Lonchura striata: one gene and its partner. The protein of the gene in region 1 interacts with the protein of each later gene in a pairwise test. Links are inferred from orthologs where the notes say so. Each region holds a gene or a part of one and is shown in the gene's direction. Other genes may lie near its edges.

The links.
Region 2: the proteins of NPAT (region 1) and HINFP interact in a two-hybrid assay, tested with the Homo sapiens proteins (2 studies listed by BioGRID). The link is inferred for Lonchura striata from reciprocal best matches to the Homo sapiens genes NPAT and HINFP.

Annotation. Positions count from the first base shown.
Region 1 is NC_134604.1:44,464,445-44,480,531, reverse strand, and holds the start of NPAT (protein NPAT), read left to right. Parts: upstream 1-9,162; 5' UTR 9,163-9,262; coding exon 9,263-9,299; intron 9,300-12,321; coding exon 12,322-12,440; intron 12,441-14,058; coding exon 14,059-14,119; intron 14,120-15,571; coding exon 15,572-15,644; intron 15,645-16,087. Other genes in the region: serine-protein kinase ATM, read right to left, coding at 1-9, 138-363, 862-957, 1,298-1,492, 2,021-2,392, 2,942-3,111, 3,346-3,509, 4,267-4,505 and 5 more. UniProt on the Homo sapiens protein: Required for progression through the G1 and S phases of the cell cycle and for S phase entry. Activates transcription of the histone H2A, histone H2B, histone H3 and histone H4 genes in conjunction with MIZF.
Region 2 is NC_134625.1:9,235,850-9,252,104, reverse strand, and holds HINFP (histone H4 transcription factor), read left to right. Parts: upstream 1-7,801; 5' UTR 7,802-7,861; coding exon 7,862-8,024; intron 8,025-8,498; coding exon 8,499-8,725; intron 8,726-9,461; coding exon 9,462-9,573; intron 9,574-9,999; coding exon 10,000-10,152; intron 10,153-10,662; coding exon 10,663-10,740; intron 10,741-10,832; coding exon 10,833-10,953; intron 10,954-11,042; coding exon 11,043-11,181; intron 11,182-11,263; coding exon 11,264-11,388; intron 11,389-11,945; coding exon 11,946-12,459; 3' UTR 12,460-13,082; downstream 13,083-16,255. UniProt on the Homo sapiens protein: Transcriptional repressor that binds to the consensus sequence 5'-CGGACGTT-3' and to the RB1 promoter. Transcriptional activator that promotes histone H4 gene transcription at the G1/S phase transition in conjunction with NPAT.

The DNA of each region.
Region 1 (16,087 bases):
AGCCTTAGACTAAATCAAATACACAGGATAAATACCAGTGGTTCATCACCACCAAATATAGAATGCATACACTCTGCCTTGGAAATAGATTGCTTGGGAGCACAAATGTAAGGATGTAACAACAATTTCTAACTTACCTTAGGACCACAACTGCTTAAAAGCTTTTCTGACATTGCTAAAAGGCAGTTCTCCAGTGTTTCCCTAAGATTTTGGTTGATGGCAAGTCTTGAACCAGTCACATTTTTATCTGCAACATTTACTCCAAAGTTAGTGAAAATATCCATTTCATCAAATGTAGTCTGCAGGTACAGCTCTTCAACATGAGAAAAACTATTTTCTTCTTTCCCTTGCACATGCTGCTCACTTGAAGAAGAGACACAGTTTTTACTTTGCAGCCAGTATATAATTTAAAAGTCTTAAATACTATTATTTAAATACAGGAAATATACAAAAGTAAAATGAAATACTTTATCTTTTTGCACTTCCAAACCCTGTTTGACCTTTGCTTTCTGACATGACTTTCACTGTGGAATGGACAATACCACTCTACCTCTAACTGAACCGTAAGGAAACAAGAAGCCTGCATACAGATCATACCTTCTCCTGCAGTTATGGAGCAGCATCTGCTTTGTGTTACAGTCCCTGACCTCAGCCTACTTGACACAGCTGAAGCAGAAATCCACAAAGCCCCTGAAACTAGTATTTTTAACTTCTAGTAGGTAAGTCTTATCTTGCATCAGAACAATTTAAACACATTTTAGTCTTATTAAAAAGAAACTTTGAATATAGTCCAAAGCATTGGTGAAAGATGCAGAAGCATTCCTAGCTTAAGTGCCTATAATGATTAATTTAAAAACATACCATTTAGCATCATTTTGGAAAAACATCATGGAGGCTCTGCAGTTCTTCATCGTAAGGCTCACAAGAATTTTTTGTAATACAAGATGAGGAAAATCACTGTAAGAAAGAAAATAATTTAATATTTTCTTGCAATCAGACAAACTCTTGGGATTCCTGAAGCACACACAAACATTGAGCAGATTAACAGGGTATCTTCAATGAAATTTAAGTTTTCACTGAAGATTTTTAATGCAGAGTTCATGTATCTACTGTGATATGGGCAGATAACCAAATTATATCCCCAAAATGACATTCTACAGGAAGCTGAAAAACCCTACAGACTCTGCTTAAGCTTTAATGTATCCGAATTCTGCATTAATATAATATGCTTTTACCTGCAGAATTTTTTGTGTTACAGGGGGAGCTTGCATGTAAAATTATGCCACAAAAACTTTACCTGAGGAGCACAGGAGGTAACTCTGCACATTCATCTATTTCTTCCTCCAAATTGCTGGACAGGAGCCATTTCATTATTGCCTCCCTTAGCACAGAACCCAGATTACTCTCAGAAATATTCTGTTCGATTCCTATGTCCAAATTTTCTGGCACTGAGTAGGCAGACATCACTAATGATAAACAACATGCAGCAGAACTGCAACAAAAATGAACAGGGAGAAACCAGGTGGTATTTGTTGATTAACACTCTAAAGCAAAGTGAGTATTTCTGCAGGCCCAAGAAGCACCAAGTACACAAGCAAGTTAAAAAGCATGCATACTGGTCTATTCCTTAATTAAAATCTTTGCTTTTTCTTGGCTGTTACAGACATTGCCTACCTATCTTAACGACTATATCAGAGTACTTATTTCAGAATAAAAATTCAGAAGAAAACATCCTTCTTAACTTCAAAAAAATCAACATTTGTCTATCAGATCTTTAAATTTTTAATCCATTTAAAATTTTATTATATTCTAAATGTGAAGATGCTTGTCTCTTCTGCCTCTGCTTTCAGTCTTTTTATGTATTTATGATAATTTCAAATGCTTAGAACACAAATGTGTGCAGTTTTTGAACAGAAATATAGTCACATCAACAAAAATATTGAGTAACACAGTTGTTTTGTTTGTACAGTAAAGAGAAATGTGAATCAGACACAAGACACTACCACTGATTCCATTTTACCTTGAAGGTTTGCATGCAGGTCCTGAAAATATTTTCCAGAGTTCTTTATCTGTTACAACAAGGTTCCCTTGAATCATAGCTCCAAGCAGCCCAAAGCTCTCCACTTCAATTTGCTGAAGGCTAACGCTGCGAATGGTAAGAGTCCAGATCTTTGCCCAGGTTCTCTGGAGCTCCAGCTTCTGGGTGCTTTTCAAATCAGTTCTCTGGTTTTGACACAAAGCTACCTCTGTGAGACACTTCAGCACATACGGAGTCCTTTCTCCTCGGCGCTGCTGAGGCAGTAACTGGTGAAGGACATTGAGTAAGGCAGGTAGCTCACTGCTAGGAATACTCGTGGGATACTTGGATATTAGCTGACTTGTAATCTGTAACCTTGAAAACAGAAAGTGAAGGAATCAATACCAAATATACAGAAATCAGCATTTTCAGAAGTAAATGAACAAACAAACAAAGCCTTCTTCAATTGCATTTCTCATGTACACTTTCCAGGATTGAGCTGATTTGTTTATTATCAAAAGTTAAAGATTCAGTATTTCTACCATTTCTACTTGTAAAGACTGTTCATCTAGCCTCACTATCACTAACAGTTTCTTACAGTTCAGAGGTCCCTCATGCCAAAAAAAAATACCCCTCAATCAAGGTCCAAGGTAAGAAGCCAGGCCTTGGAATAGTTTTCAGGACAGGTATTACAGAAAACTCTGTGAACTAGTCCAAAACGGCCAAAATCTTAATGGTTACTGTACTATGCCACAGCCAGCTTAGAGCAACTTTCCAAATGCTCTGACAATCTAAGTTCACTACTTAGATATATAATCACAGCGTGTCCAGACACCCAACTTAAAGGCACAACATATTCAGGAGACTGTTAAATGTAAAAAGATGTCTGGAGTGATACTTTTTTTCATGTAAAGATGTTATTACCAAGGTATGACATCAAAATCCTTCTGGGATCTTTGCACATTATCTCGAATGGAACCCCAGCCAAGCTCAATCCTCCTGCGCTTGTTTGACACCGTGTCCTCACTGGACTCTCTTTGTGAAACAGCATAGGACTGGGTAATTTCAAGGACTTTGGTATCCTCTGTAAAAACCTTTCAGAAAGAGAATTTGAGAAGTATGCAAATTAAAAAAAAAAAAAAAAGCAGCAGTCTTTACAAGAAAACTGGAATACTTATAGCCTAACAAGAAACACAAGCAAAATACATTTCTAAACTGTACAGAATTAACAAAACACAACAGATCACAGACAAAAGGTATGAATACTTCAGTCAAACATACAGCTCAGTAATTATGTAGTCAATCTTATATTCAAATAAAAATGTTACCTGATGACAAATATCAGCCATTAACTCAATTAAATTTTCCTTTACAGCAATATTACGTGAGCCTGAAGAATACTTCCCACGGCTACTGATGAGATTTATTTCATTCACCAGCAGATCATACAGGTTATGTAAGATGCTTTGCCACCTTGTTAAGTCATATGCAGCTGTACATGCAAAAACAATTAAAAGATAGCATCACCCATTTGACCCAATATGTAAACCTACCCAGACAATGCAAAATACAGACAAAATCTGAGTAAGGCAAACAAAGTTCAGCAAGTGCAGGCCTGAAAAGCAAATTCTATACATTAGAACGAATAAAGTAAAAAAGGGGAAAAATTAAGAAATAACTTAATCAGCATATAGAAGTAATTAGGATAGGAATTAAGTTTCTAATAAACAATTCTTCATCTAACTGGAAAGAATACAGTTAAAGGTAATTGATAGATTTGTACAAAGTATAAAAAAGAATTATGCTAGAACTACAATAAATCACGACAAACAAACATAATTACTGAGTTATATTCTCTGAGCCATTTTATAGTGTAAGTCAGAATCAACTGACTTATAATTTTTGTAAGTAATTTCTGGGTTTAAATAGATCTGGTAAGACACCAAATGTATTTGGCAATCTAAACTATTATTTCTTTTCCCCAAAGACTTGGTACTTTTATTTAGCAATTGAAACTGCCTTTTGATTAAAAGATGGCCCAACCTTTAAAGGAATTTAATACAATTAATATGCTCTCAGGGGATAAAATTTGAAAATTTCTTTTCACTTTCACTAAGTATTAACCTGTAGCATAAAACTACTGATGAATAATCATCACTACCATTAATGTTTCCAAGGCTCAGTATCAAAATTCAGAGTTGGCACAATCACATGCAGCAATTAAAAAAAAAAAAAGTTTTTTATGGTACCTCTTCCCTGAGATTTTGCACCCTTTGGATGATGAATATGAACTTGGAGACGAAATAACTCAATTATTGATTCTTTCAGGGAATCCTTTGGTCTATACTGAGTCCATATGTAAAGCACTGTAGGCAAAATTTCTTCCCCTACTTTGCAAATCCGCATGCGACAGTTGTCAGCAAACTTGTTGCAGAAGATATTCATTGCTCCAACAATATGATCCAGGCCTGCAATATTCCTCTCCTGCCTGTAACACAAACCTAACACTTAAACTTCCAAGAGAAATTATCTTATTTATTTTCATAAGTGCTGTTTAAATGTAAATACTAACAAGTAACAACATTCTGAATAGTATTTGCCTAACAAATGCAGCAGTTATTAATATTTTAGACAAGTTCCTTAATTGACATTCAAAGGTAGAAGAAAATACATCTGAAGAAGTATTACCTGTTAACACTCAAGTCTAATCCCGAGCACTTAATATAAGTTATTTTCTAGCATACAAAAGGAGCACTTGCAACATACCTTGCAGACTGCATTGCTTTTGAAAAGAAGGCAAGCATGTCAGAACACAACCCATCAGTTTGGAAGCAGTACCCTCTTGTAAGTGTATGAATTATCCTAGCCACTAAGACTCTATTAATGCTCCCTGAAGGTTTGAAGTATAAATGGCCATAGAGGGTCAGCAACTCTGCAAATGCATTAAAAAAATAGAGGTAAGTATAAACATATATATTACAGAGAATTACATTAAAAAGTCTTGACACAAAATATTGCATTAAAGACACAGAGACTACCACACTGTGGTCAACAGCTAGTATCCATGTTCTTACTTTCAACAGCAATAGATCTCTGATTTTATAAATAAAAAACCTGACTTCTCTAATGTACCCCAAGAGTTATGAGCAAGCATTAAGGTGGAATCACAAGAAAAGGTTATAGTAACCTTTACAAAGATTATATAACTCTCTTTTAATAAAAACAACTTGTTTCACTTACTGGATTAAAGTCTGACTTCTTCTAGATTTATGGCCTTCAGCCCTGCCTCACCTCAGTAACTAAATTCCACTGTACTCCTTAAAACCTAATGTCAACATTTCTTCTGCCACACTTCCCAGTTTTGCCCATACACAGACTCAGCTAACTTTCATGTTCCTAAAGGAACTAACCACCCCACAGCAAGCCCCACTGGCTCCCCATGCCTGTGTTCTCTTCCAGTGACCTGCGCAGACCATGCACACATGACCTGACCGTACAGAAGTACTTATGCTTCAGCAAGCAATAGACAAACAGTACACACAAAGAAAAAAAAATCAAATCCTAATCCTTGCTGCTTTGTTTACTTCAAGTGTAAGCCCACAGAGGCTGACACTGCTTTACTCCATATTTTCTGTACTACTTCACACAACAGGACATCAAACAAAAGAAAACACATCTAAAATATGTTTCTACAAAAGGAAAAGACATCTCTAAGTAGGCTCAAAAATGTTACCTGACCACTGCTGCTGGGATATCTCACACCAATATTTCCTTACTGAGACGATATCCTTTAGCAGTATACTACTACAGTCAGAACCATAAGCAGCACAACTTATTGGATCTCTTATTATTTCCATGACATAAATCAGAAGTTCCTGACATTTCAGTCTGGGTCCTCCTATATGAAGAAACGACATGAGACTATTTAATTAACACAAATGCTACCAAATAAATCTGTAATTAATTGTTTGTAAATGTTACCAATTAAAAAAAAAACAAAACAACACCAAACTTACAGTTCTGAAACAGTTCTATGAGGAAATATTTTCTTAAACTGTTTCTAAAATATAAATTACCAGTGGGAGGATATATCAGTTATAGACACATTGAGTAATTAGAAAAAGGCACTGTGAACACCAAAAAGGACAGATAAGGAGCACAAGTGACAGATTCACCTTAAGATATTTAAATAGCAAAAACCTGGAAGCAAATATGATGAGCCCTACATTGGTAACTTCAAAGATAAATTCAAAGTTGAAAGCAAAGTACCAAACCAAACCAGTATCTCTATATGATAATACGTATTACTGACGTTTATTGGCACATCTGATGAAATATTTGACCAAACTTCCAAATTCTTGTATTTTTTTCTGTCTTGCAGTTTGGGTTGAAGCAGATGCATTTGGTTTTGTCAGTTGCAGGTTTTTAAGTTCTTTCTGGAAATATTTCTGCAAGACACTTCAAAAATAAAGGAGAGATTAACCAAGGATCTGCTCATTTATGACTGAAGTAAAATAGGAAAATGTTGGTTTAGGCTAAAATGCCAGTTCCTGTTCTTCTCACAATTGTGATTATCAAAGACTAAACCCAACTGAAATACACTACAGTCCAAGCATGACTGGAAAACAGCTTATAAAAGGAGACGCAAGTTTTAAAAATAACCCATAGCAACTTGGAGTAGGAATCAAACTTTCCTTTAAACTTTGCACAGTGCTAAACATACAACTTACAATTAAGAAAAAAGCATTGCTAAGTATTTTTATTTATGCTGCAACATTATAAAACAAAATAATAAGAAGTATTTATCATTGCTTTTACTGCAAAAGCCTTTAAGTCTTATTTCCTTATAATTCGAAGTTAATATATGGATTATGTCTTAGATCTATGAATAAATTACACTTTTCACGGTATTTGTCATGTAATTGCTATAGATTTTCTGGCCTTCTATTTAAATTCATGTCCCATTCAAGAAAATTGTGACCATTCACAAACAAAACCAAGAAGCTACCTAAATACAGCATCCCAGTTGAGTTGCTTTGCTTGTTTAGAATCAGAATTCCGGTCCAGCTGGAGAACTGTTTCAGAATCACGGAGAAGTTGCTTGAAATTTTCAATTTCCTTCTGAAAATGTATTACAAAAAGAATAATTTGTTATGATTCCCTTCATTGCGATTTGAGGTATACTGCCCAAAAGAAAACTTGTTACCCTTCGCTCCACAGCTTTCTCATTTTCAAGGCGACGACAACAAACCAGCAGATCATGTAATGCAAGACTCATGGTTCAGCTTAAAGAAGAGTCATTTATATCTGCACACAGAAGAAATGGATAAAATAGTAATTATTGACCATGCAGCCCAGTAAAAATGTATACTGAAAGTCCAGTATCAAACAGAACCACGATGTTCAATGTTTCACCAAAAAGCTCATTTGCAGCTGGGTCAGTCTTATTGGTTGAAAACTCAAGCAGTTTCATGTCAAGAATGCGATCTATTCCCACAGACAACAGTCACAGAATAACTGCAGAGAACCCCATCACATAATTCTGACTTCCTCCCTTTCCCATGAGCGCTGAGTAGACCTGGGCAGACAATTGAGAGGACAATTATAGTAAGAATGACAGAGCTAAATACACTCTGGCAAGTGGACCTAACTTTCAGTAGCCCTCTTAACCTGATACTGCCAGGAGAAGGCACCGCCTGGAAAATGCTCCCTCACATTGTAAATTTTCATAGGTATGCACTATCTATTGATGAATCCCCAGGGACTAAACATGCCAAAGGATGATTAAGTATCAGTCATATGAAAAAACAACTTTTCCTTCTGTCATCACTTAAAAGTATGCTTCTTCTTCCATAGAGGTTTGAATTAGCTAGACCTTGTATTACATGAAGTTACGATGTTGCAGATCAGAACCATGACATTCTATTTAAATCCTCTGCTTCTACTTTTGCACCCTTAAAGTAGACTCAAGAGAAACCCTGTTTGGAAAAGACAGATCACACAAGCTGGAAGTAACTCCAAACACGTGCTGCTGGATGTAATAAGCAAGGGAGAACAGGCATTCATGATGCACAGCACTGCATCTTGAGTGCTTACATGACAATACAAAAATCGTCATTTAAATAAGCAAAACTTTAAATATCTACTGTCTTAGACTGCATTTATTTCCTTTGGTGTCAATCAAGATCAGGCTGGAACTAAGTAAGATCAGAGATTCGGTGACTCATAGATGTGTGTGAAAAATAATACATTTTAAGTGTGAAGGCTGCCTGTACTGCACAACCGCACTTATTTAAATTAAATGTTCCTTTACTAAATTCAAGAACCATCCTGAGTTGGAAGGGACGCACAAGGATCCCCTAAGTCCAATTCCTGGCCCTGTGCAGGACGCAAGAATCACATCAAATGCCTGAAAGAGTTGTCCGAGCAGCTCTTGCAGTCAGGCAGGTTGGCGCTGAGAGCTCTTCCCTGGGGAGCCTGCGCCAGCGCTCAACCACTCTCTGTCCCTCTGGTGGTTGGGCACCGGAACACAAAACAACCCAACCCAGCAGACTCGATGCTCTTGCTGGAAACGAAACGGAAACAAACTTTTCAAACACCCGCGGCTTCTGATGCGCTTGATCGAAAACTGCGGCAACAAGGGTCGTCTGCTGCCAACAACCATAACAGCAGCACTGAGAAATTCCCAAGAATGAATCCACGTACTCTTTCTCTTGCTGATTAGTTTTCCACCTATCCCATGACGGCCGCCTTCCCGCGCACATGAATGACACATGGGAAGGCGGGCGCACCAAAACCATGAACGGCGGAGAGAGGAGCTGGCGGAGGCGCTGCGAGGTGCCCCGGCACGGGCACGCAGGCAGCGCCGAGCGGCAGCCCTGGCCCCGGCAACCCCGCCAGCCCCGGCCCCGGTCCCGGCAGCCCCGGTCCCGGTAACCCCGGGCCGCCGCCCCTCAGCGCCGCAGCCGGGGCCGCGGCCGCCCCGCCCGGGCCCAGCCCCTCACCTCGGCCGTGGCGCTCGCAGCCCCGCTCCCGGCGGGGCGCAGCGGAGCGGGGCTCACGCGTGGAAGCCGCGGCTGCGGGCGGACCTGGAAGCGGATGAGCGGCCGCGGCGGGTTCCGGCGGAAGGGGCCGGGCGCGGCGCTGGCTGGCGGAGTTTCCGCGCCTTCGCCTGGGTGGCGGGGCGGCCGGCTGCGCCCGCCCGTGCCCCGCTGCGCCCGCCCGTGCCCCGCTGCGCCTCGGGCCATGCTGCTGCCGTCCGACGTGGCCCGGCTGGTGCTGGGTGAGTGAGCCGGGAGGGACGGAGGGATGCCTGGGTGAGGCGCGGAGCACCGGGAGGGCTGTGCCGGGCATTGTCAGCCGCCCGAGGCGCGGCGGGACACGGCCGGCTTCGCCCTTGCCCCTTGGCAACGTCTCTTGGTCCCCCAGGCTGGATTGTCGCTGCCGGCGTTTATACCGGGCGCTGCTGGGCCGGCCCGCCGCCCCCCGGCCCGGCCTGTGCTCGCTGCTGGGGGATTCGGGGCTGAGCGAGCAGGCCGCTCCCCAGCCGTGCCTTGGGCTCGGCTTCTTGGCGAGTCCAGGGAAACGTGGCGGTCTGCGGTGCCCACCTGCACACCGAGAGCTGCTGAGCCGTGCTTCAACAGTTCCTGATTGCAGGAGTCCAAGCGTGACCCGAAATCCCAGGGAGGGCTGCGTTAAGGGTCAGATGGTTTTTCTTTTCGACCGTGTTTCGCTCACTTTTGAGGATGCACTTAAGAGTTCAGACTCGTGATCAGAGTCTATGGAAAGCACTGCGTAAGTGTGTTCAGGACACTGGTAGCAGACAGTGAATCTTTAAAAATGACTTTATGCTTTGGATTATTTGGATTCTGCCAAAGGTGAGAGCAAATTGATGGTAAGGAAAAATATGACTCACATATTTCAGTCCCACATGTACAAAGTACTTATTGGCACAGGTTGCCATGATTTCCTGGCAGCTTGCCCTGTGAGATTCAGTTTTCAGTTTTTTAAAATCCAAAGACATTAAAACTGAAACTCTTCTTAAGTGTTCCCCTAGCACAAGTTATTTTTAAATACTACCTGAACTGTTGCTTGCTACTGTCTTGAGAAAAAGGCTAGTGAGAGATGCAATTTTTTTATTACTGTGAAGTAACAGGATTTTTAGAAACTCCATGGACTGTAAAAGAAAATTTGAATTCATACAAGTGAGATCTCTCATTGCGCTCTTCCAAACAAGATTGGTGAAGTTACAAGTTTCCAGGTAGAAAGCTTTTCTTATGTGCTTACCAGCAACCTGAAGATGTAGCACACAATCTTGGCATCCTGTGTGCTGAGAATGATCCATCCTGTCTTGTGTCTGTTGTGGCACGGAGCATGCATCATGTCTGGAAAACCTCTGAGCAACCTAAAGTTGCAGAACAGGACATTCCTTGTAACCATTTTTATTCTCTAATAGGGATTCCTCTTCTGTGAGACATCTCTGAATTTCAGTGGTAAATAGACTTCCCAGTGCAAGCTCTTCCACCTTTCTCCCCCAAGCCCCCCACAAAATCTTTCTGGTGCTGTGAAAGTTGATGAGTATTTGTTAAAGAAACAAAACTAAAATTATAAGCTGAGCTCACACACAGGATATGCATAAGAACATTTATCTTTTCCTATCTGATAGAGTGAATGTGTACTATGGGTTAGACATTTCTTAAGGTAGAGCAAAATATTGAATAATTTCCATACATTCAAAATCTACGTAGGACACCTTTTGTGCCTTTGATTTTGGTGTCCTATGTCATTATACAGTGTGTGCACAAGCAGTTTGGGCCAGATGCACAGGCATTTTTAGCCTTTGAAATGCTTTATTACCAGGAAACTGGTGTATGTCAAACGTGCCCGTATGCAAACATTCGGTCATCACTTGTGATACTGTAGTAGTAGGTTCAAGAAAGAAAAACGGCAACTTTTTTTGTTAAGTGTTCAGGTAAGGATGATTGTAAGAGCAGTCATACCTGCACAGATCAGAGCTCCTCTGAACCTAATACCCCATCTTCCAGCCTGGACCATAGTGAGATATCATTGTGTTTGTGGAGAAATACACATTCAGCCACTTGTGGCTCGAGATTTTTCTAGGAAAAATGTAATTGAAAAATTAAATAGGATATTCCTTTTCTTTCTGCAGGCACTACTGATGTTTTCTGTCAGGTCAGGCCTGCTTTTACATTGTGATTAAATTCACAGTGGGTATTCCCAGGCTGTGTTTAATTTTCAAGTTTGCCTACTTGTTGAAGACATGAACAAGACTTGCATGATGGAAATACTATTTGTTTTCTTCAGCTGTACTCAGATCTGCTGAAAGATATTTGTTCTCATTTAAACGGCACTTAAAGGGCACATTTTTCTGCAGGTATTCATGAACTGAGGTGGAGCATTTTGGGGGTCCATTGAAATAGATAATGTATATATCCTGCGTTGTACAACTAGGCACATGTTTTATTTTATCCTTAAAACATTCCATGCTAAGCTCTGCTAGGAGCGAGAAGGAAGAAACATTTTCTCTGTGTTTCTTTGTTTTAGAATCCTTCATTCAGATTGGTCTATTTCTATCTTTTAGTGTTTAAGGTGTTTGAAGATTAAAGCAGGGTTAAAATGTTTAATTAAAGCAGAACATATTTGACGAAAAGAAAACTTTGTCAGTACATTTTCTGTGATGGTAACTACTGATTCATAGGGTGTAGAGAGCAAAATTTGCATCTGGTACATCTATCCTAAATGAAAATTTCTGTAAGTGTGTGGGGGGGACCTTTTCTGTTACTAATTTTTGTACAGTGCCAATATTTTTAATATATCTTATCCACTATTGCAGCAGCTGTACAGGTTTTACCTATTTTGAAACAGTACAATGTGTGGAGAATTACTCTTACATAGCAAGGTGTTTCATTAACAAAATATTGTAGATTTCCATTGAAGTATCAAATAGGGTGGTTCAGCCCATATGAGGGTTTGTTTGTCAGCCTTCTGAGCTGAGAACATTTATTTTCTTGTGTGTAAAGATAAACTAAAATTTGTTCATATTGCCTCACTTCCAGTTTTGAGTACTTTGAAAATACAATGTCATTACAATCTATATTTTTTTCTCTTCTGGGTTTTAACTGTTAAATATCTGGTAGGAACGTATGTATTTTCAAAATAATGACACTTCCCTTTTATTACATGGAAATTTTTATCTGATTATTCCAGCACTGTATTCAGATTTGATACCTATTGAGCAGAAATAATGAATGAAATAGCAAAATTTTCCATCTAATTTGTTGCAGGCTATTTGCAACAGGAAAATCTTCAAGCTACCTGCCATCAATTTATTCTGGAAAGTTCAGATTTGAAAGAATATGCAGAGCACTGTACAGAAGATGGTTTTATTCCAGCCTGCTTGCTGGTGAGTTTGTATTTGCAAAGCAGAAACTTACATTGTCTTGCATCCATGGAAAACAATATAGTGGATTTCTCAGTGCAACAATTAATTCTCAAATGCTGCTTAAAATGTTTGATATTTGATTTGTTTAGTGTTTTTTTCATCCTGTGATATTAGCAGTTATTTGGTTTCTAGTATTTATGCTTACTAAGAAAAATGTAAGCGTGAAATATGCAAATTGGTTTCAGAATATTATGCTTAGGCTGCTTTACAGCTTTGAGGTTGATTTATGGAAGGGTGTTGTCACAAGGGTTTTCTTGATTTTAGGGCTACTTCTGTAATTTACAAGATCACTTTCCTATTCTAGGCATGGCAGCCAATAATTTTCCATTTCAGGTGCATTGTAAGTATTTAGGTAAGGCACCTCAGATTTATTTAAGTCTAACAAATTTGATTGACAAAAATTGTGTTCAGCCTCCTCTCTATTTGATATCATCTGCATTGTTCCGGGTGAAAGGCAGGATTTTGGGTGTGCATAAATAGTGTGTAGCCACATCTCTAGATACATGTGTAGAGCTCTAGACCATAATTAGATAGTTTGCATTTTAAACAAATTTACAAAATGGAATTTTTACTATACTTTGTAAATCACAGGATTGAGGTATTGCTGTTTGTCAAACCTTTTGTGTTTATGTGTGTGTTCTGTTCATGTTTTCTGTTTCATTCTTCTAGTATATTAGTTAATTTCATTGTCTGGGACTTTGTCCATAGTATTCATAATTCGTGGAAGTTTTTTCCTAAGGTCCAAGGTGCACCTTCTTGATGCACCTTTTCAAAACAAAGTATTGAATTTATTTTATTTACAAGTGTTCAGTTATCTGCACTTTGGTGGTAGGGGGTTGAGAACCAAGCTATGGCCAGCAAAAATTAGAAAACCTATAAAAATATAGATATAGGTTATCCAGATTAATAAAACTTTTTATAATCATCCTTTTCTCAGTAGAAATGTTCTTCCTATTATTCACCTAAAAGTGATATCATAGTATCTAAGACAAAATTCTTACTGCAACTCAAATACTTGCAATAAAGTGCTATATTTGTCATGTCTTGTAGAGTTCCCACTAGTAAACAAGAGAGGAAGGTACAGAATAGTGGTAACTTTAAAATTTTAATTATCTTTGTGTCACTTAAAATAACAGGACAAGTAAACATGATAAGAAGGTTAATTCTGTGTGACTGTTAAAAATTTTGCTTCAGACAGGTTCCTTCACGTTTCCATCTTAGTGCATGTTGTTTCCCAGCATGATACATAGTCATTAGCCTGTTACTGCTCATCAGTAACAGACAATGATCATCATGCTGTTCATAATCTAATTTTCATGGTTTTATTCAATAATACAAAAAAGATGAGTGAATGTCAGACAGCTCTAACTACCAGTGTTGTGCCTTGAGATACAGTACTTCTCATTTTGGGTATATAAGAGGATTTTGTACCATTGATTGCTCTCTACCAAGTACAGTCCCTTGTACTGAGGGTCAGCATGGTGTAGACTGTTGAAGAGCTCCTTAAATATGATGTGCTACAGCAGAGGAAGTAGAAGTTATTAGTGAAAATTCTAAGATCAGTTGGTTTTTTTTCCAGTCGCTGTGTGGAAAAAACTTGACAACAATTCTTAATGAGTACGTAGCCATGAAAACAAAAGGTAAGCCTTCAGAATGAGGTGTTCTTTTATTTTTATTTATGTATTGTGAACTTGAGGAAGAGGTGTATGGTCTTAGAGTAATCCCCCATTTTAGGCACAGTTTTGAAGGTTAACGTATTACGCAGCCAACAGTCACTACATCTAGTGAGCAAAAGTAATTGATTATCTTAGTTTGCATATGCCAGCATATATTTTTACTTCGAATGTGAGCATTTTTATATCTCAAAAGCATAGAGATATAATGTGCAAAATGTATGGGTTTACGCTTGTGAAATTATACTGTTTATTGTTCATACTATTAATAGGAGGGGGAGGTGCTTATCTCTCTGGTGACCAGCAACAGAATGTGAGAAAAATGAAATGCTGTGTCAGGAGAAATTCAAATTGGATCTTAGGAAAGGGTTCTTCACTGAGAAAGTGGTCAGTCACTGGAACAGGCTACCCAGGGAAGTGGTCATGGCACTGAGCCCTGTCAGAGTTCAAGGAGAATCTGGACAATGCTTTTTGTCACACGGTTTAGAGTTTGGTAGCCCAGTGAGGAGCACGGAGTTGGGCTCAATGATCCCTATGGATCCCTTCTAACCTAAGGTATTCTATGATTCCATGAAATAATCAGAAGGAGTCCTATGGTATGAAATATTTCTTGTCTTATTTTTAAGACTAAAATAGTTTCAGAACTACTTAATATTTTGTATGAATATTATAGGCAGAGCTAGAGCATTTGCTGGTTTTGAAATTAGTTATCAAGCTTCTGAATGTTTCCAAATCTTACAGGCTTTTGATATCTGTTGTATGATCATATTTTAATGGTGCTTGGTATTAAAAATCATACATGGAACATTTCTGAACATTTTTTTCCTTTCACACTAGGTTTGACGGAAATGGTAACTAAGATGCAGATGTACTTCCTTCAAAATGCTTTGTACTTAGCATCTTGAAAAACTTAATAAATTGAATTGTTTACTTATCTTTTCCATCACACTTCTAATGTTTGGTGCTTCAAAAAGACCAAATGTTTTTACCTGTTTGGGTAATATAATGAAATAAACTATTACTTTTAAAGGCCTGTCTGCCAGGTTATGATTTTCAAAGGCACAAAATTGACTTGGGAATATGATTACCATTTCCAGAAGTGAGTTGGGGGGTATTAGCATAGGTTAGGTTAGCATGTGTTTCCTGAGGAGACAACACCATGTGCAAATTCCTGCAAGAATTATAGTAATTAATTCAGTTTCATCAAGGCTTCTAAACCAGAACTGTATCCATGTCAATCAAAATTCTTTAAATTAGGAGTTATGGCTGTCTAATAGAAAATTAAGAAGGCAACTAAACATCTAAAGTTAGATGATGTCTGAAACACTCCATAATAATTATTTTGTTTGTGATTTTACTTTTCTCTCAGCATATATCAGTTTTGGGCATAAATTAGGTTTTTTTTATGGTTCATTTTAGAAACAACAAATGAAGTTCCAGCAATGATGTCATCGCTGTGGAAAAAATTAGACTATACACTTTCTCAGATCAGGTAATGTAGTTTTAATTAAGAAAGTAATATTTCACTCTAAAAGTGAGTCCCTATGTAGACCAACTTCCCTTATCATTGTATGAGAATGGTTAGCTCTCTGTTTCCTTTGAGAGACAGTGAAAAAGATGGGTATGTTAGAGTTAGTAGTTGAGCAGACATTTAAAAATTATAAGGAGGGCATTAGTGTGAGCATGTTGTCTTCCTATAATAAAACAATACACTATGACTCATTTAGAATCTGATACCTTTGTGGTTACTTGATCAAAAATGAAACAGTAAGCTTCACTTGAAGGATCTGTGACGATTGTTGGAAAGAATAAAAAAAGTAACCAATGGATTTTTCTGAAGGAATGTGTGGTTAGGATCAGACTGACATTAACCATGTGGTAGGTAATGTCACACTGTATAGCTGAGTGCTTCCATTATGCTCCATTAATTTTTGT
Region 2 (16,255 bases), on another chromosome or scaffold:
TGGTGATGCCCAATCCTGGTTTTTTGTTGTTTGTTTGTTTGTTTTCCTGCCTGTTTTGTCACACAGTCAATGAAGCTGAAAGTCACAGCAAGTAAATCCCCGTGAGGCTTCTTCAGCATAAAAAAAAAAGCCAGAGGTAAATGGTTTGGGGGAAAAAAACATCAGAACTCCCAGTTTGTGCTGCCGGTGACCCGGGGCTCTGCTCCCTGTCTCTCCTTGCAGGACACAGCTCCTGCTCCCCCTCCTCTGGCAGCATCCCCGGGCTCCCAGGCACTGAGGAGCTGCTGCCCAGCAAAGGTGAGTGCCAGGAGCACCCAGGGAAGGGCCCCTCGTGCCCCTGGATGCCACCACATCCTGGCATCACCGTGCTGTGTCCCCTTCTGGGGACAGCCTGGCTTTGTGGCTGCCAATTGAGAATAAAAAAAAAAAAAAAAAAAAAAAAGCAAAAAAACAATGTAGTGCAGTAGGATTTGGGTTTCCTGTTGCCATAGAAGCACTTTAAGAGGAAATCATCCCTTCCAGGCTGATGCTTGGCCTCTTTCCAGCCCATCACATCCCTGGCACTCGGAGAGGAGCTGGAAGGAGCTCAGCTTTTGGGGAAGAACAGATATTTTCGGGGCACTGACTTGTGCAGGTGTAGCTGGAAAAGGAAGTCGACTCGGTGTGGATATTCTCAGTTCAGTCAGGGAGAAAAAGAGAAATATTTCTGCCAGGCTAAACCTGGGGAAAAGTCTGAGAGGAAAGTAAACATTGATTATCTTGTTTGTTCATATGGTTTATAGGATGTTCTACCACACTGACCTAAGTCCAGTGCGCCAATCAGGTGAAATGTTTTTACTCTAAGACCAAAGGAATTAATGTTCACAATGTTCTCTATAAAAGAGAGAAGCGCTTTTTGAATAAACTTTCATTTGCCTTCTGAAATCGTGCGAGTCATTTCGCCTGCCCCTGGCCCACCAGCGTTAATTTGGGAAGGCGTCACACGTAGGATGTGAAAGAGGAATTGAACAGCATTGCCACGATTAAAAAAGGAAAATTAAGGGGATATTTAAGACAGACAGATATGAAATCAAGGAGGCATCAGCAATGTTTTGGGGCACGCATTCTATTAATTACATTAACATTGTACTAATTACATTAAAATTAAATGAATTACAGTAACATTACATGACCAATGCAAGCAGGGGGCGGGACGCTGGGACTTTAGGGGGTTAAAAAAGGGAAAAGGACTCACGCTGCAGCGGGAGCCGCTGCCCTGCCGGGAGCGCTTTTCAGCCAGCAGGTCCTTGACCGTGTGCTTCACTCGCACTCCTTGGTACACCCGGGCGCCAAACTCTGCGGGGACTGAGCAAAGGCACAGGTCAGGGCAGTACAGGGCGCCCGGAGCAGCAGTCTGTGCTCCTGCTAGGCAGGGGAAAGTATTAAAAATAGATATATAATATATAAAAAAATATATATAAAATATACTAGATATAAAGTATAAAATATATATATATATATATATATATATATATATATATATATACTAGATATAAAATATTAAAATATATATAATATATAAATATATATTATATATACCAGATATAAAGTATAAAAATATATAATATTATATATATATATATATATATATATATACTAGATATAAAGTATAAAAAATATACTAGAAATAAAGAAAGAGTTGTCATCCAAAAAGATATCCATTTCTAGACATAGAAATTATTACATATATATATAATATATATTCCCATATATAGAAATAGATAGAGAGAAAATATCGAAAAGTGATTTAGAATATAAAATGTCAATGTATTATTAATAGTAATAAATATTATAATATAGCAGCATATTATATATTATATATTATATATTATATATTATATATTATATATTATATATTATATATCATATATTAATTATAGGATTTTCAGAAGGCTAATTAATTCCTTTATTAAACGGTATTATACTATATTAATGTAGTATTGATATTATATTATTCGTGTATTAGTATATATTAGTATATAGTACTAATGTATTAGTATATAGTACTATAGTATATAGTATATAGTACTATACATGCTATAGTACTATATTAGTATGTAGTACTATAGTATATAGTATATAGTACTATATATATAATATAGACTAATATATATATTAGTATTTATAGTACTATATACTAATATATATATATAAGTATATATATAGTACTATATACTAATATATATATTAGCATATAGTACTAATATATACACTAATAGTATTTCAGAAGGCTAATTAATGACTTTATTAAACTGTAAAATTAATTTTATTTTTTTATTATTAATAAAAAATACTTTGATAAAAAATACTTTGATAAAAATTTCCTTTGATAAAAATTTAATAAAAATTTACTTTAATAAAAATTTACTGTAGCAAAATTTTGCTTAAAGAAAAAATTGCTTTAAGAAAACAATTTACTTCATTAATTTCCAAATTCCTTTATGAAAGGGGAGTCGGAGCACATCATCCCGCCCACGCCAGGCACTGCAGCACCTGCGGGCTGTGGCGCGGGTGGGAGCTGCGGGACAATGCAGGGACAGCTTTGCTTTTTTATCCTGCCCTGAACGCAGCTCGCACCTGCGGAGCCAGGGAGGAGCTTCCCCGTGAATTATCCCGGAAAAATCCTCCCAGCCTTTGAAGCTAATCCCTGGAAAGGCAGAGGCAGAGGCAGGCGATGCCTTTGATCCCCAGGATTTGGCCTTTGGCTCTCCTGCCCCTCAGGACGTGTCCCTTGGCTCCGTTTCTGGTGGCTTTGTGGCCTCGCGCACCTGTGGCAGCACAATTCTCTCCCTCTCAGGATTTTCATAGAGGTGCACAGAGAGAAATAAAAGAGAAAACAATTTCTATTTTTGCTCCTTGTTTTTCCCGTGTGGGATGTGTGTGGAGAATTGTTTACCTGGGGTGATGCTTGGTTGGGTTCTGGTGAGGATTGTTTGAGCCTGGTGGCCAACCCAACCCTGTTGCAGAATTTCTGAGAGACGGAAATCATGATTTATGTTTGGAAGGAGGTTTGAGCTACCCACTCAGACTAGGCCTGATGAGCAGCCTTGATGGGGCCTCGAAGCCTTTGATGCAGTGAGAATTCAGTCGTGGTGCAGTCAGAAATTATGTTAAGGTAATTACAAAGTAATCAGCTATCCGAGCGTGAATTAGAGCAGAGCTGCAGTGTGAAAAGTTTGACCACCTTAAGGAAAAGTTAAATGATGCTAGTGTGCCAATCAGAGTGTCTTTGTTTTTGTAAACTATGTAGGAGCTGGTATAAACTGCCATCTTATCTCCAATAAAGGGAGAAGGTTTGATTAACCACATTGGTTCAGATCTGTTTGTCTTGTCCAGCTTCCCGTTTTCCTGAGATTTCCCTGGCTTTTCAACCCACCTGGGGCTGGGCTCTCAGAGAGGGTCACCAGTTGTGTTGGAGTCTGAGCAAGTAGTATGTAGCTTTAGTATCCTCCTTTTATATAGTATATTAATGTATTTTAGCATAGTTCTAATAAAGAAATCATTCAGCCTTCTGAATTGAGTCAGGCATTGTCATTTCTTCCCATTGGGTTCACGTGCATTTACAATACACACCAAGAGAGGTGAGAGGGTTTAAACAACGCACTGCTGGCTTGGCCAAATTGCTGATTTTTTAAATTTTTTTAATTTTTTTAATTTTTTATTTTTTTAATTTTTTAATTTTTTTAATTTTTTAAGTTTTTGGGGGCATAGCAGCTGCAAGTTTGGGCGAGTGGCATTTCATTTTGGTGTTTGAGTGCTGATCAAAGAGCTTCAGCCAAGGCCAGGCACAAAGCAAACACAAAGCAAGGGACAGATTGCCAAAAATGAGGTGAGAGTACCCCAAAAAAATGCAACAAAAGTGGTTCAGAAATAGACATCAGCTCTCACAGAGGAATTCCAGCAGGTCTGGCGCTCTGCAGGTTTTCCTGACACCTTTGCTGTGCTCTGAAGGCATTAGAAAATCACTTCCACACCCTTCTGCTGCTCTGGGCTGTGGAGCTCACATCACATCCTCAATTATTCCTCTGCCCAAATTGTTTTAATTCAGCAACACTCAACCCCTCTAACCCCAGGCTGAAGTTATCACACAGCTGAACCCGCTGCTTCCAGTGGATTATCCAGAGGTTTCTGGTGCTGAGCTGTCAGAACTTCAGACAACTCTTCCACTGGCAGCACCAGGGAAGAAAATACTCATTTAGGCCTGAGTTGATATAATTTCCAAGCAAATTGAATCCAATTTCACATCACTTTGATCTAACTGCCTTTTGAAAAAAAAAATAATGATAATAAAGCATAGCACTGTGAAGGAATATAAATTCAATCTGGAGAAGGCAGAACACGTTAATTGATACTATTAAATTTTGGGGGCATTTAAGATGTCACATGTCTATTCTAGACAAATTTTTGTGGGTTTTTTTTTCAATAGGAGCCCAAGGATAGCACAGTTTGTTCCTTCCCTGATGTTGCCATGAAGATGCCTCAGCTTGTGGAGATCTGAGCTGCTGGAACTCACCTGCTTCCATTGTTGGTGCTGCTGACGAGTCCCAGCTCCCGGATCCTGCAGGAATTTGGGGAAGATCTGTCCCTCATGAGCTTCCCAGAGCAGAGTGAAGCCTGTGCTCACAACTCCCTGGGACACTTCCAGCTGAGCCTGGCGGAAATGGGTTTTCTAGAATTTAGGGATGTCTCCAGCACCATACCTCGCTTGGGATTTGCTTAAATGCAAATCCCTGGATCTGGGTTTCGCTCCACTTTGCATGGTCAGTGTGGGTTCTTCCCCAGGAGCTTCCTTCCTGTCTGAGCTGGCATTTCATGGATGAAAAATGCAGGTTTCTGGGCAGAAAAACCTCGTGGCAAAGCAAAATGCTGGCAAGCCTTGCAGTGAGGAAGTTTTCTTCCAGCTGAGGAATCTGTCAGGGAAAACAAGCCTTGGGATGGGCATTTTCTCCTGTGTGGGTGTGAGACCCCCACGGGGTGTTGGAGGTCTCCCTTGGGCAGGAATTCTGACTTTTTGGGAGCCCAGAGGCTGCTCTGGGCTTTGCACAGCTCCAGCTGTGCCTGGGGCAGGAGCTGCCAGGGAAGGGAAGGGAAGGGAAGGGAAGGGAAGGGAAGGGAAGGGAAGGGAAGGGAAGGGAAGGGAAGGGAAGGGAAGGGAAGGGAAGGGAAGGGAAGGGAAGGGAAGGGAAGGGAAGGGAAGGGAAGGGAAGGGAAGGGAAGGGAAGGGAAGGGAAGGGAAGGGAAGGGAAGGGAAGGGAAGGGAAGGGAAGGGAAGGGAAGGGAAGGGAAGGGAAGGGAAGGGAAGGGAAGGGAAGGGAAGGGAAGGGAAAAGGAAAAGGAAAAGGAAAAGGAAAAGGAAAAGGAAAAGGAAAAGGAAAAGGAAAAGGAAAAAGCAGGGGCAGCCTGGCACCGGGCTGCTGCTCCCAGTTCCATCTCCCTCCCGCTGGAGTCTGCTGCCAGCTCGTGGGGCCATCAGGTAAAACCCTGCTCTTCCTCCTGCTGCTCCCAGGGGCTCTGCCCAGCACAGGGATGAACTCTGTCGCTTGAGAAAGAAGCATGCAGGACACATTTTGTGGGGCAAAAAGCAAGGATCCATCCCTGTTTATTTAAGGATGCAGCACATGTTTAATGGTGCAAAAGGAAAGGGTCGATCCCTTTTTATAATGATGCAGGACACATTTTATGGGGTAAAAAGAAAGGATTGATCCCATTTTATTTAATGGTACAAGACACATTTTATGGGGTATAAAGCAAGGATCCATCCCTGTTTATTTAAGGATGCAGAAGACATTTTATGGTGCAAAAAGAAAGGATCCATCCCATTTTATTTAATGATGCAGCACACATTTTATGGGATAAAAAGAAAGTGTTGATCCCGTTTTCTTTAAGGATGCAGGACACATTTAATGGTGCAAAAAGCAAGGATCCATCCATTGAAAACAGAGATCAAAAGCTCGGGCAGGCTTCTTTGAGATGCAAACCTCTCACCTGGTGTTTTCTTTTCAAAAATCCTCACACCCACATTTTCTGGATACTTTGGTGGGTTTGGGCAGTGTTTTCCGTAGGGATGTGGTGGGATTTGCAGGAGCTGTTGTGTCCTGGCATGACACACCCTGGGCACGTTCTGTACAACCCCTTTCAAAAAGGAGTTTAAACCCTTTAAAACCCTTTTTGAAAAGGGGTTTAAACCCTTTAAAATAGTATTTAAAAGGAGTTTAAACCCTTAAAAACCCTTTCAAAAATGGGTTTAAACCATTAAAAACCCTTTTTAAAAGGGCATTTACCTGTGCCAAAGCAAATTTTGGGAGCTGTGCCTCTGCTGTGTGTAACAAAGAGCAGCTGGGACAGTAAATGTGAATTTAATTCCACCTGATGAGGGAGCAGAGGGAATTTGTTGTTTTATCTCACAGCAAAGAGCTGCAGAACTGGTGGGGTTTGTGTTTGCTGTTGGACGAACCAACCCAGGGATGGATTTTCAGTGTGAGGATTTGTTTACGGATGGAATTGTTCCGGAAGCACCAAAAATTATCACGGAATCATGGAATGGTTGGGGTTGGAAGGAGCCTTAAAGCCCATCCCGTTCCACCGCTGCCATGGGCAGTGTGAAAAATGCGGATTTTATGATTGGCTTTTGGCAAATATTCAATTGAATTCTATATGTGTTGTGGAGGGTTAGTTTGTAATACTGCAGTAATCCTTTTTAAATAGTGTGTTAAAAATCTATTTTTAGGTTACAACACAATGTTAAAATAGAAACTCTGCGATATATTTTTTCCTAGCTCAAGAAAGGGATGAGATAATCAAGAAACTCTTCACACAGAGATAACAGCGACAGGGCACCTAAAGAGTTTCTGCCTCCTTATCAGAACAGACAAACATCCTTCCACCTCCTCTCTGTCTTTATGGAACCACCAGGGTTAAGGGGAAGAAGTTCACAAAACCCAGAAAAGTTCTTAATTTGCAAGGAATTCCCCCCACATCCATAGTCTCTATTTTAACATGATGTTGGAGCCTGAAACTGTATTTAACATGCTACTTAAGAGAATTAATACAGCATCACTTTCTAACATTACACATATAATATTCATTATAATATTTGCGAAAAGCCAATCATAAAATACGCATTTTTCACGTGTTCCTAAAAGCTGTTTTTCAGTTTTTATACTCTTCATTATAAACCCAGCTAACTAAACATTGTGTTGACAAGCAATTATTAGTTAACTACTAAGCCTTAACTTCATCGAGGCCTACTCGTTGATTTTAATGAACTCTAGCGAGACTTATCTCTAACTAAAATGTCTAAATTGTAAATCTCTAACTAAAATCTTTAAATTGTAAGTTTTATCTCCTCTAAAATCTCTAAATTCCTTAAAATTTGTGTTTCCCAACAGCTCGGACACTTCAGGGATGGGCAGGCAGAGAGTGAGGAACCCTCGCAGCTCCCGGGGCCGGATTTTCCCAACCCCAACACCTGGGACACACCCAGGGATGGGCGGGCAGAGGTTTTTGTCAGTGAGGAGCGCTCGCAGCTCCTTGCCCGGCTTTTTCCCAAGGAAATTTCCTAAGGAATTCCTAAGGGATTTCCTAAGGGATTTCCTTAAGGAATTAAGCGCATGGGAACCTTTGTGGCGTAGCGCTGCTTCCCGCCGGGGCCGCTCGGGCGCTGCGCGCAGGCCGCGGCTCCCCGCGCGCTGATTGGCGGGCGGGCGCGCGCGGTGCGCCGCCTCGCGGTGTCCCCCGTGGGGCGGAGCAGGCCGCGGCCGCGGCCGGGGCCGGTTCGGGGCCGGTTCGGGGCGATCCCGGGAGCCCCGCCCAGGCCCGGGCCATGGCGGGCGGCCGTGGCGGCGGGAAGGCGGCCGTGGTGCTGCGCTGCGAGTGGCAGCAGTGCTCGTTCGCGGCGGAGGGGATGGAGGAGTTCTGCGGGCACATGGCGCAGCACCTGCGGCAGCACCTGCCCGGAGAGCAGCGCGCCCAGATGGACCCGCTGGGTGAGGGGGGCTCGGGGCGGCTCCGGGGGCTCGGAACAGGCCCCTGAGGGGAGGGCACAGCCCGCGGGGAACGGCAGCAGGAGGGCATTGCCGCCCGGGGATGCTCAGCGGGGACCTGAGGGGGAATTTCCACACGGAAAGGGCGGCGGGGCTGCACGGGGAGGGTTGGGCTGCCCAGGGAAGGTTGGAGTCCCCAGGGAGGTTTGGGGTGCCCAGGGAAGGTTGGGGTCTGTCTGTCTGTCTGTCTGTCCCAGCGGAGCTGTCTGTCAGTCTGTGTCCACAGGAGCCATCTGTCTGTCTGTCTGTCAGTCTGTGTCCCACAGGAGCAGTCTGTCTGTCTGTTGGTCTATGTCCCACAGGAGCCATCTGTCTGTCTGTCTGTCAGTCAGTCTGTGTCCACAGGAGCTGTCCGTCTGTCTGTCAGTCAGTCTGTGTCCCACAGGAGCCATCTGTCTGTCTGTCTGTCCATTCCAGAGGAGTACACCTGCCTGTGGCAGGGCTGTGGCTTCTGCTCCCCGGCGAGCTCGGCCGACCTGGTGCGCCACGTCTACTTCCACTGCTACCACAGCAAGCTGAAGCAGTGGGGGCTGCGGGCCCTGCAGGGCCAGGCGGGGCTCAGCCCCTGCCAGCTGGACTTCCAGAGCCACAACATCATCCCTGACATCCAGGAGGACTTCCTCTGCCTCTGGGAGTACTGTGAGGTGACAGCACGGGGCTCTGTGGGACACGGGAGGTGCTGCTGGGCAGTCTCAGAGCCCAGGACTTCCCTCTGGCTGTCCCCAGACCTTGGCACGGAGTCAAAACCACCTGTGGCTTCCATTTTAGCCCATGGAAAAAGCTGCCAACTCTGTATGAGGAGTTACAAACCACAAGGGTTTGAGCAGTGTGGTAGTTGAATTGACATAGGGTGGAAAAGTGGAATTTTGTTTTAGGATGTAATTCAGGGGTACAAGATGGAGGAATCTGGGGTGTCCCCGCCTTTTTCCCTTTCTCTTGCCCTCCATGCCTTGCTGTGCTGGTGACACTTTTCTGTTGGTTCAAGGCAGAGATTCACAGTCTAACACAGGTGGAGGGCTTTGGCACAAATCTGTAAATAGACAACACGGAATTCTGAGTATCTGATGTGGGAGCTGCCCGAGGCTCAGGGGAGACTGCTCTGGCTTCTGTACCAGGCAGAGCTCGGCAGGTCAGAGAGAGAATTTTATAGATCAGAAAGAATAAACAACCTGGAAAACTCAACTTCACTCATTCCAGACCTCTCCTTCAGCTGCCAGGCTAGGGGAACAAGGACTTTTATGACTTTGGGGTCATTCCAAGCAAGCAGACCCCGACAGTGCTGCAGCACAGCTGCCCAGCTGCTGGCTCTGCAGCTGTGTGGGAGCATCCTGGATTGTTGTGCTCTCTCTCACCCTGTCCTGTTGTCCTTGCCCCCCTCAGAGGTCGTTTGACAACCCCGAGTGGTTCTACCGGCACGTGGAGGATCACAGCTTCTGCTCCGAGTACAAGGCAGCAGGGAAGGAGAACCACGTGCTGCTCTGTGGCTGGAAAGGTCAGTGGGAGCCTGCAGGGCCTCTCCTGAGAGCTTTGGGCTGGGTGGCAAACACGTACAGGGGAGCAGCTTTCAGAGAGCCTCTTGGCCTTCAAAAGCAGATTTTCAAATTTCATGGTTTTGACCGTGAAATATTCCTGCAGGAGTTCCCTCGGCGAATCCAGCTGAGTGATTCCTATTTATGTGTAATCACCACCTTTGAGAAAAGCTGATTTTTTTTTTACTTTGATTTCTTTCATTCATTCCTCCTGTGTTTGTGCAATTGCCTTAACTGCTTGGGGGGAGCCCACACTGTTTGCACCGTGCCGATCTCGCTCTGCCCTGCGGGGATTTTGGAGCTTTGCTGGCCAAAACAGCATGAAGAAGCTGCTGTTGAGTGAGGCTATGTCCCTTGGGAGGGCTCTCAGCTGTGCTGTCCCTCCCCAGACTGCAACTGCAGCTTCAAGGGCCGCTGCAAGCTGCGGGAGCACCTGCGCAGCCACACGCAGGAGAAGGTGGTGGCCTGTCCCACCTGTGGGGGGATGTTTGCCAACAACACCAAGTTCTTCGACCACATCCGCCGCCAGACCGCCCTGGAGCGTAAGCCCCGGGGGCAGGGAGGGGCTGGGGGGTCCTGGGCTGGGGTCTTTGGGTGGCTGGAGCTGTCTGTACCCTGTGAGCCAAGGGCAGGGTGTGCTTGGAGCAGCCTGGCTTGGCTGCTGAGTGGTGGGAGCCACAGAATTCCAGAACCATTTTGTCTGGAAAAGACCTCTGAGATTGAGTCCAGCCTGGGATTGATCCCCACCTTGGCAGCCGAGCCGTGCCCTGACCAGGGGTAGGGACTCTCCCACCTCCCTGGGCAGCCCCTTCCAGCATCTGCTCACCCTTCCCATAAGGAAATTCCTCCTGATGTCCCACCTGAACCTCCCCTGGCCCAGCTGGAGGCCGTGTCCTCCGGGAAGTGTCTCCTGGCAGAGGCAGGATGGGGGCTGTTCCTCCTGTGGGGACCCAGGGCTGCCCAGCAGGGTTCCCAGCCCCCTGGCACAGCTCTGCTCGCCGCTCTCCGTGCTCTTCTCCCTGCCCTGCTCTCCCTGTGCCCTCCCTGTGCAGAGCAGAGGTTCCAGTGCTCCCACTGCTCCAAGAGGTTTGCCACGGAGAGGCTGCTCCGCGACCACATGAGGAACCACGGTGAGTGCAGGCCCCAGCTCCCAGCTCAGCTCCCGTGGGCTGGCTGCTCTGCCCTGCTCTGGGCTGATGTTTCCTCCCCGTTTTTGGCCCAGTGAACCACTACAAGTGCCCCCTGTGCGACATGACGTGCCCGCTGCCCTCCTCGCTGCGCAACCACATCCGCTTCCGGCACAGCGAGGAGCGCCCCTTCAAGTGTGACTACTGTGACTACAGGTGAGGGCCAGTGCTGGCCCCCTCCCCGACCTCCCAGAGCCTCTGTGGGTGTGTGGGGGTGTGTGTGCTGCAGCTCTGCTCCCTCACAGCTGCAAGAACCTCATCGACCTGCGGAAGCACCTGGACACGCACAGCAAGGAGCCGGCGTATCGCTGCGAGTTCGAGGCCTGCAGCTTCTCTGCACGTTCCCTCTGCTCCATCAAACTGCACTACAGGAAGGTCCACGAGGTGGGAAGCCATGGCTCGTGATGCCCCCTGTCAGTCTTCTCAGCTTTTTTTTGTCTCTGATGTCGCTCTCTGTGTCCCTCAGGGTGACTCCGAGCCGCGGTACAAGTGCCACGTGTGTGACAAGTGCTTCACACGGGGGAACAACCTCACTGTCCACCTCAGGAAGAAGCACCAGTTCAAATGGCCCTCGGGACATCCTCGCTTCAGGTACTGCTCACCTTTAGCTGCTCGGTGCCTCCTCTGCAGTGCAGGAGCTGCACCCTGCGTTGTGCTGGCAGTGCCTGGGCTCTGATGTTTGCAGATGTGCTCAAGACCCTTTTCCCAGTGGCTGGGAGGCACTGGGCAGTAAATGTTCAGTGGGATCTGAGCAGCGCTGCCTGGCAGCTCCAGAGCGGTGGTGCCATCACTGCTGCCTCTGTGGGACAATTCTGAGCTGGGCAGGGGCCAGCTCCAGGGATCCATCTTGGCACAGGAGCTTCTGCTTCCTTTGGAGGAAACTCCAAAGGGTTTCCAGAGCCTGAAAGCTGGGAGGGGAAGAGGAAGGACTTGAAATGCTCCCGGTGAAACAGAGTGGTGGAAAGAGAGGGGCTGGGGAGGGGATTGAGCCTGGCACAAAGCTCTGAAGCTGCCACATGGGGGTAGAGGCTGAAACAGCATCTGTGCAGCACAGGGATGGAAACCTCAGCTGCTGTGCCCTTTCCTGGCTGTTGCCCATCTCCTGGGAAGGGGGTTGTGCCTGGCTGACCCCTCCTGTCTGTGCCCAGGTACAGGGAGCACGAGGATGGCTACATGAGGCTGCAGCTGGTGCGCTACGAGAGCGTGGAGCTGACAGAGCAGCTGCTCCAGGACAGGGAGAAGCGTGGCGAGGCTCTGGATGGCCCCAGCGTGGTGCTGCCCGAGGGCGAGGGCAGCCTGCAGGGCATCCTTCTGGAGCCTCCAGCAAACCCTGCCCCAGCAGAGAGCAGCACAGCCGAGCTGCCCGTGCCCCCAGCCCTGTGCTCTGCTCCCAGCCCTGAGCCAGCACGGCCGAGCCCCTTCCCAGGAGCTTCCTCCTCCTCCTCCTCCTCCTCAGAGCAAGGAGCCAGCAGCACCAGCAGCCCCATCATCCGTGTGGTGAGCAGGACCAACGAGCAGGGCCAGAGTGAGACTGTCTATTACGTGATGGCCAGCACGGCCTCGGAGCAGCAGGGCATGGCAGCCCCGGCCCTGGAGCTGGAGGAGAACGTCATGGACAGGCTGCAGAAAACAGCTGAGGAGCTGGGCATCCAGATCCTGTGAGGTGGAGACCTTCAGCCTGCTGGAATGCTTGGGGACAGGGCTGGGCTTGCCTCCAGCCCAGCCTCGCTGGCTGCTGGTTCTGGTCAGCATGTGAGAAGGGAAGGACAGACGTCCCGGGTGTGAATCAAGTGATCTGAGCTGGAAAGAGCTGTCTGCCTCCTCCTTTTGGGGACTGCAGCCTCTCAAGCTTCTCCCACCCTTCTGGGGGGTTTGGCCTAGGCCTGGCAGGGTGGGGTGCTCAGCAGCTGTGCCCTTGTGAGGTGTTCCCCAGGCAGGATGGGTGTGGAGCACACTCTGCTGCTGGGAACGTGTGGCCCTTGGCAGGCCTGTCCTGCCCCAGCCCTTCCTTCTCCAGGGGGTGTCACACCTTCATCAGCACGTCCTGCACACATTTCCTGCCTCCCCTGCTGCTGGGGGTGGTGTTTGCCCCCCTGATCCCAAGCCCAGCCCTGCTCTCTGGGAGGACAGTGCTGGAGCTGTGCAGGCCAGCGCAGCACCGCGACGTTGGGAGCTTCCTGCTGCTTTTGGCATCCCCTGGCTGCCCTCCCCACATTGGGGTTTGGGCTCCTGGCTGGGCAAAGTGTTCTTTGGCAAGACAAATAAACATCAGGCTGCCAGGCCCAGCGGTGTTTGCTGTGTTTTTCTGCTCAGCCCTGCACCTGCCAGCCGTGCTGGGCTGGGGATGGCACTGGGCTGGTGCAGCGTGGGAGGTGGGCACCGAGGAGCTGCCAGGCGCTCCTGGCGCTCTGCAGCTGGCACTGGAGCGTGCTGCTCCCCAGAGGTGGCACTGCAGGGCTGGGTTTAGCTCTGCCACTCGTGTTGCTGAGTTTTGCTGCCTCCCCAGGGCTGGCTGCAACATGGAGTAGCCTGGGCTTGTGAGCAGAGCCAGAGGGACAAGTGACAGGGTGAACTGGAGTGGCTGGACGAGGACAGGGTGAATTTGGGGTCCCTGGAGTGCCATTTAGGCCCTCCCTGCCCTGTGTGTGGAGGTGATGTGCCATGGGGGGCACAGGGAGGCACCTTGCTGCTCTTGGCTGGGCACTGACTTTTCCCCATTGCTCCCTCTGGAGCAGCTGAGCAAAAGCTGCTGGAATTTCGGGGTGTTGAGGGAAAGCCCTTGGTCCCAGCACCTCCAGAGGAGAGGCAGGAGTGTTGTGAGAGCACAGCACTGCTGGAGGCTGCTCCCTGCTCCAGGCAGAGCATCCCTGCCCCGGGCACTTGCCTTGCCCAGCCTTCCTGTCCCTGCCTGGTTGGGGCAGAGCTGGGCTCAGGGTTAGGATTGTAAATTCAGGTGAATCCAGTGGATTGACAGGAAGATGCTGATGTCTGACTCCAGCTCAGAAGGCTGAATGGTTTCTTTATTATAACTACGCTGTAATACATTAATATACTATTTAAAGGAGATACTAAAACTACAAACCTATTTTTTCTAACTAACTCCCATATCTAACTCACAACTCATGCCCCTCTTTGAGAGTCCAGCCCCAGGGAGGTTGGATTGGCCACCAGGCTCAAACAATCCTCACCAGAATCCAACCAAGCATCACCCCAGGTAAGCAATTCTCTAAACACATTCCACATGGGAAAAACAAGGAGCAGAAATAGAAATTGTTTTTCTTTCCTCTGTGCTCCTCTATGAAAAAAATCCTGAGAGAGAGAAGAATGTGCCTGTCACAGGTTAGAGCTGGGCTGGCCCTGGCAGAGCTGGGCTCAGGGGTAGATTTGGGCTGGCTTTGGCAGAGCTGGGCTCAGGATTAGAGCTGGGCTGGCTTTGGCAGAGCTGGGCTCAGGATGCCTTGAGAGAAGGGCCCTGTGCCAGCTTTGCATTCGCAGCACTCCAGCCTGGCCCTCCCCTGCGTGCCCCAAACTTGGCTGTGCTGCTGCTGCTGGGTTTGGGGCTGGCTGCGGGGAGTGGCCCTTTAAACACTGCCCAGGCAGGGTAATCTGCCAGAGATTATCTGCTGGGGAGAGGATTGGCATTAAAGGGAATGTCTCCTCCCTTCCCCCCGTGTCCTGCAGCATCCCCTGGCCTGGGGGTGTGTGGCAAACCAAGTTCACTTTCTCCTGGGCGAGCAGAGAGGGCTCTGGGCTTGCAGGGGCAAGGGGAAGAGGGCAGATGATGGCACCGGGCCTCCTCTTCCTCACCGTGCTGGCCACGCTCGCCTCCTGCCAGGACCCAGAAGGTAACAGGGGCTTGGGGGATGAGGGGGTGATGGGGTGCCCAGAGCTGGCACCGCTCCTGCCCAGTAAGGAGCCAGAGCAAGGCTTGGCACAGGGGGCCTGGGAGCTGAGCTGGCTGCACTCAGCACAGCAAGGGCTGGGATGGGTTTTTGTGGGCTCCTACCCGTCCCTGCGGGGCTCTGAGGGCTGGGCAAGCACTGACAGCGCTGTCCTTGCCCCCGGTGGCCCCAGGAGAGCTGGACACGTACTGGTCTGGCACGGCTCCCATCTGCGTGGGGGGCTGCAGGGGCAGGCACAAGGAGCTGAAGAGGAGCCAGTGCGGCAACGGCAGCTGCTGCTGGCTGGGCTACAAATCCTTCTGCAGAGGTAAAGCCGGGGCAAGGCCGGGGGATCCCTGGGGGTGTCCCCTCCAGCAGCCGGGGCCACCCGCATCCTTGGCCGGCGAGCCCCGGGGCTGTCCCGGTGGCCGTGCCCGGGCTGCCAGCGCCGGCTGCATCGCTGTCCGCAGTGAACTGCGGGCGGCCCGAGGCGGATTTTAACTCGGTGGTGCACGGCAACGACTGGTGGGTGGGCTCCGTGGTGCGCTACAGCTGCCGGCCCGGCTTCCTGCTGCTGGGGGACCCCGCCAGCGCCTGCCAGCCCGACGGCCGCTGGACCCCCAAACCCTCCTGCCTGCGTGAGTAGCAGCGCTTGGGGCACGTCCCCAAAACCTCCTGGGCACATCCTCAAAGCCTCCTGGGCATGTCCCCAAAGCCTCCTGGGCACATCCCCAGAGCCTCCTGGGCACGTCCCCAGAGCCTCCTGGGCACATCCCCAGAGCCTCCTGGGCACATCCTCAAAACCTCCTGGGCACATCCCCAAAACCTGGGCACATCCTCAAAACCTGGGCACATCCTCAAAACCTCCTGGGCACGTCCTCAAAACCTCCTGGGCACATCCCCAGAGCCTCCTGGGCCTGGAGGGCTCCGGCTGAGCCCCCGGGACGGGCTCTGCCCCTGCAGGGATCTGCCTGCGCGGCCGCATGGAGCTCAGCGAGCGGCACACCGGCGGCCGGTGCTCCCCGTCGTGCGGCAGCCCGGAGCTCCTGGGAGCTTTCCTCAGCAGCGGCTGCATCCACATCTCGGCCTGTGCCACCAAGGCGTCGGGCTGGCCCCGCTGGCTGCGGCGCTGCGACACCTGCGAGTGCGACTGCCATGTGCCCTGCGGTGGGTGCCGGCGCTGGCACTGCCCGCCCGTGGCTCGCTGGGCTCGGGGGAGGCTGGCGCTGGGAGACGGGGGCTGCAAACAGCTCCAAATCTGCTCTTTGCTCTCCTCAGGTTCTTCCAGGTAGAGCTGTGGCCACCCAGGGCTGTGGCCACTGGCCCCATGAGGCTTCCACCCTGGGTCCTGCCTGCCTCCAGCAGTGTCTGCTCCTTCCATAAGCTCTGTGTGTCCCGAGGTGACATCTGAGGGATGTTCTGGACTCACTCTTGCAGGGCTGGCTCATCCCAGCCTCTCCAGGGCCGGGGATGCTCTGGGACTGGGATCTGGGAGTGTTTCCTGCAGCTGGACTTGGGGATGGTGCTGTCAGCACCCATTCCCTGGCTGCTTCCCAGAGGGGGCTCAGAGCCCCTTT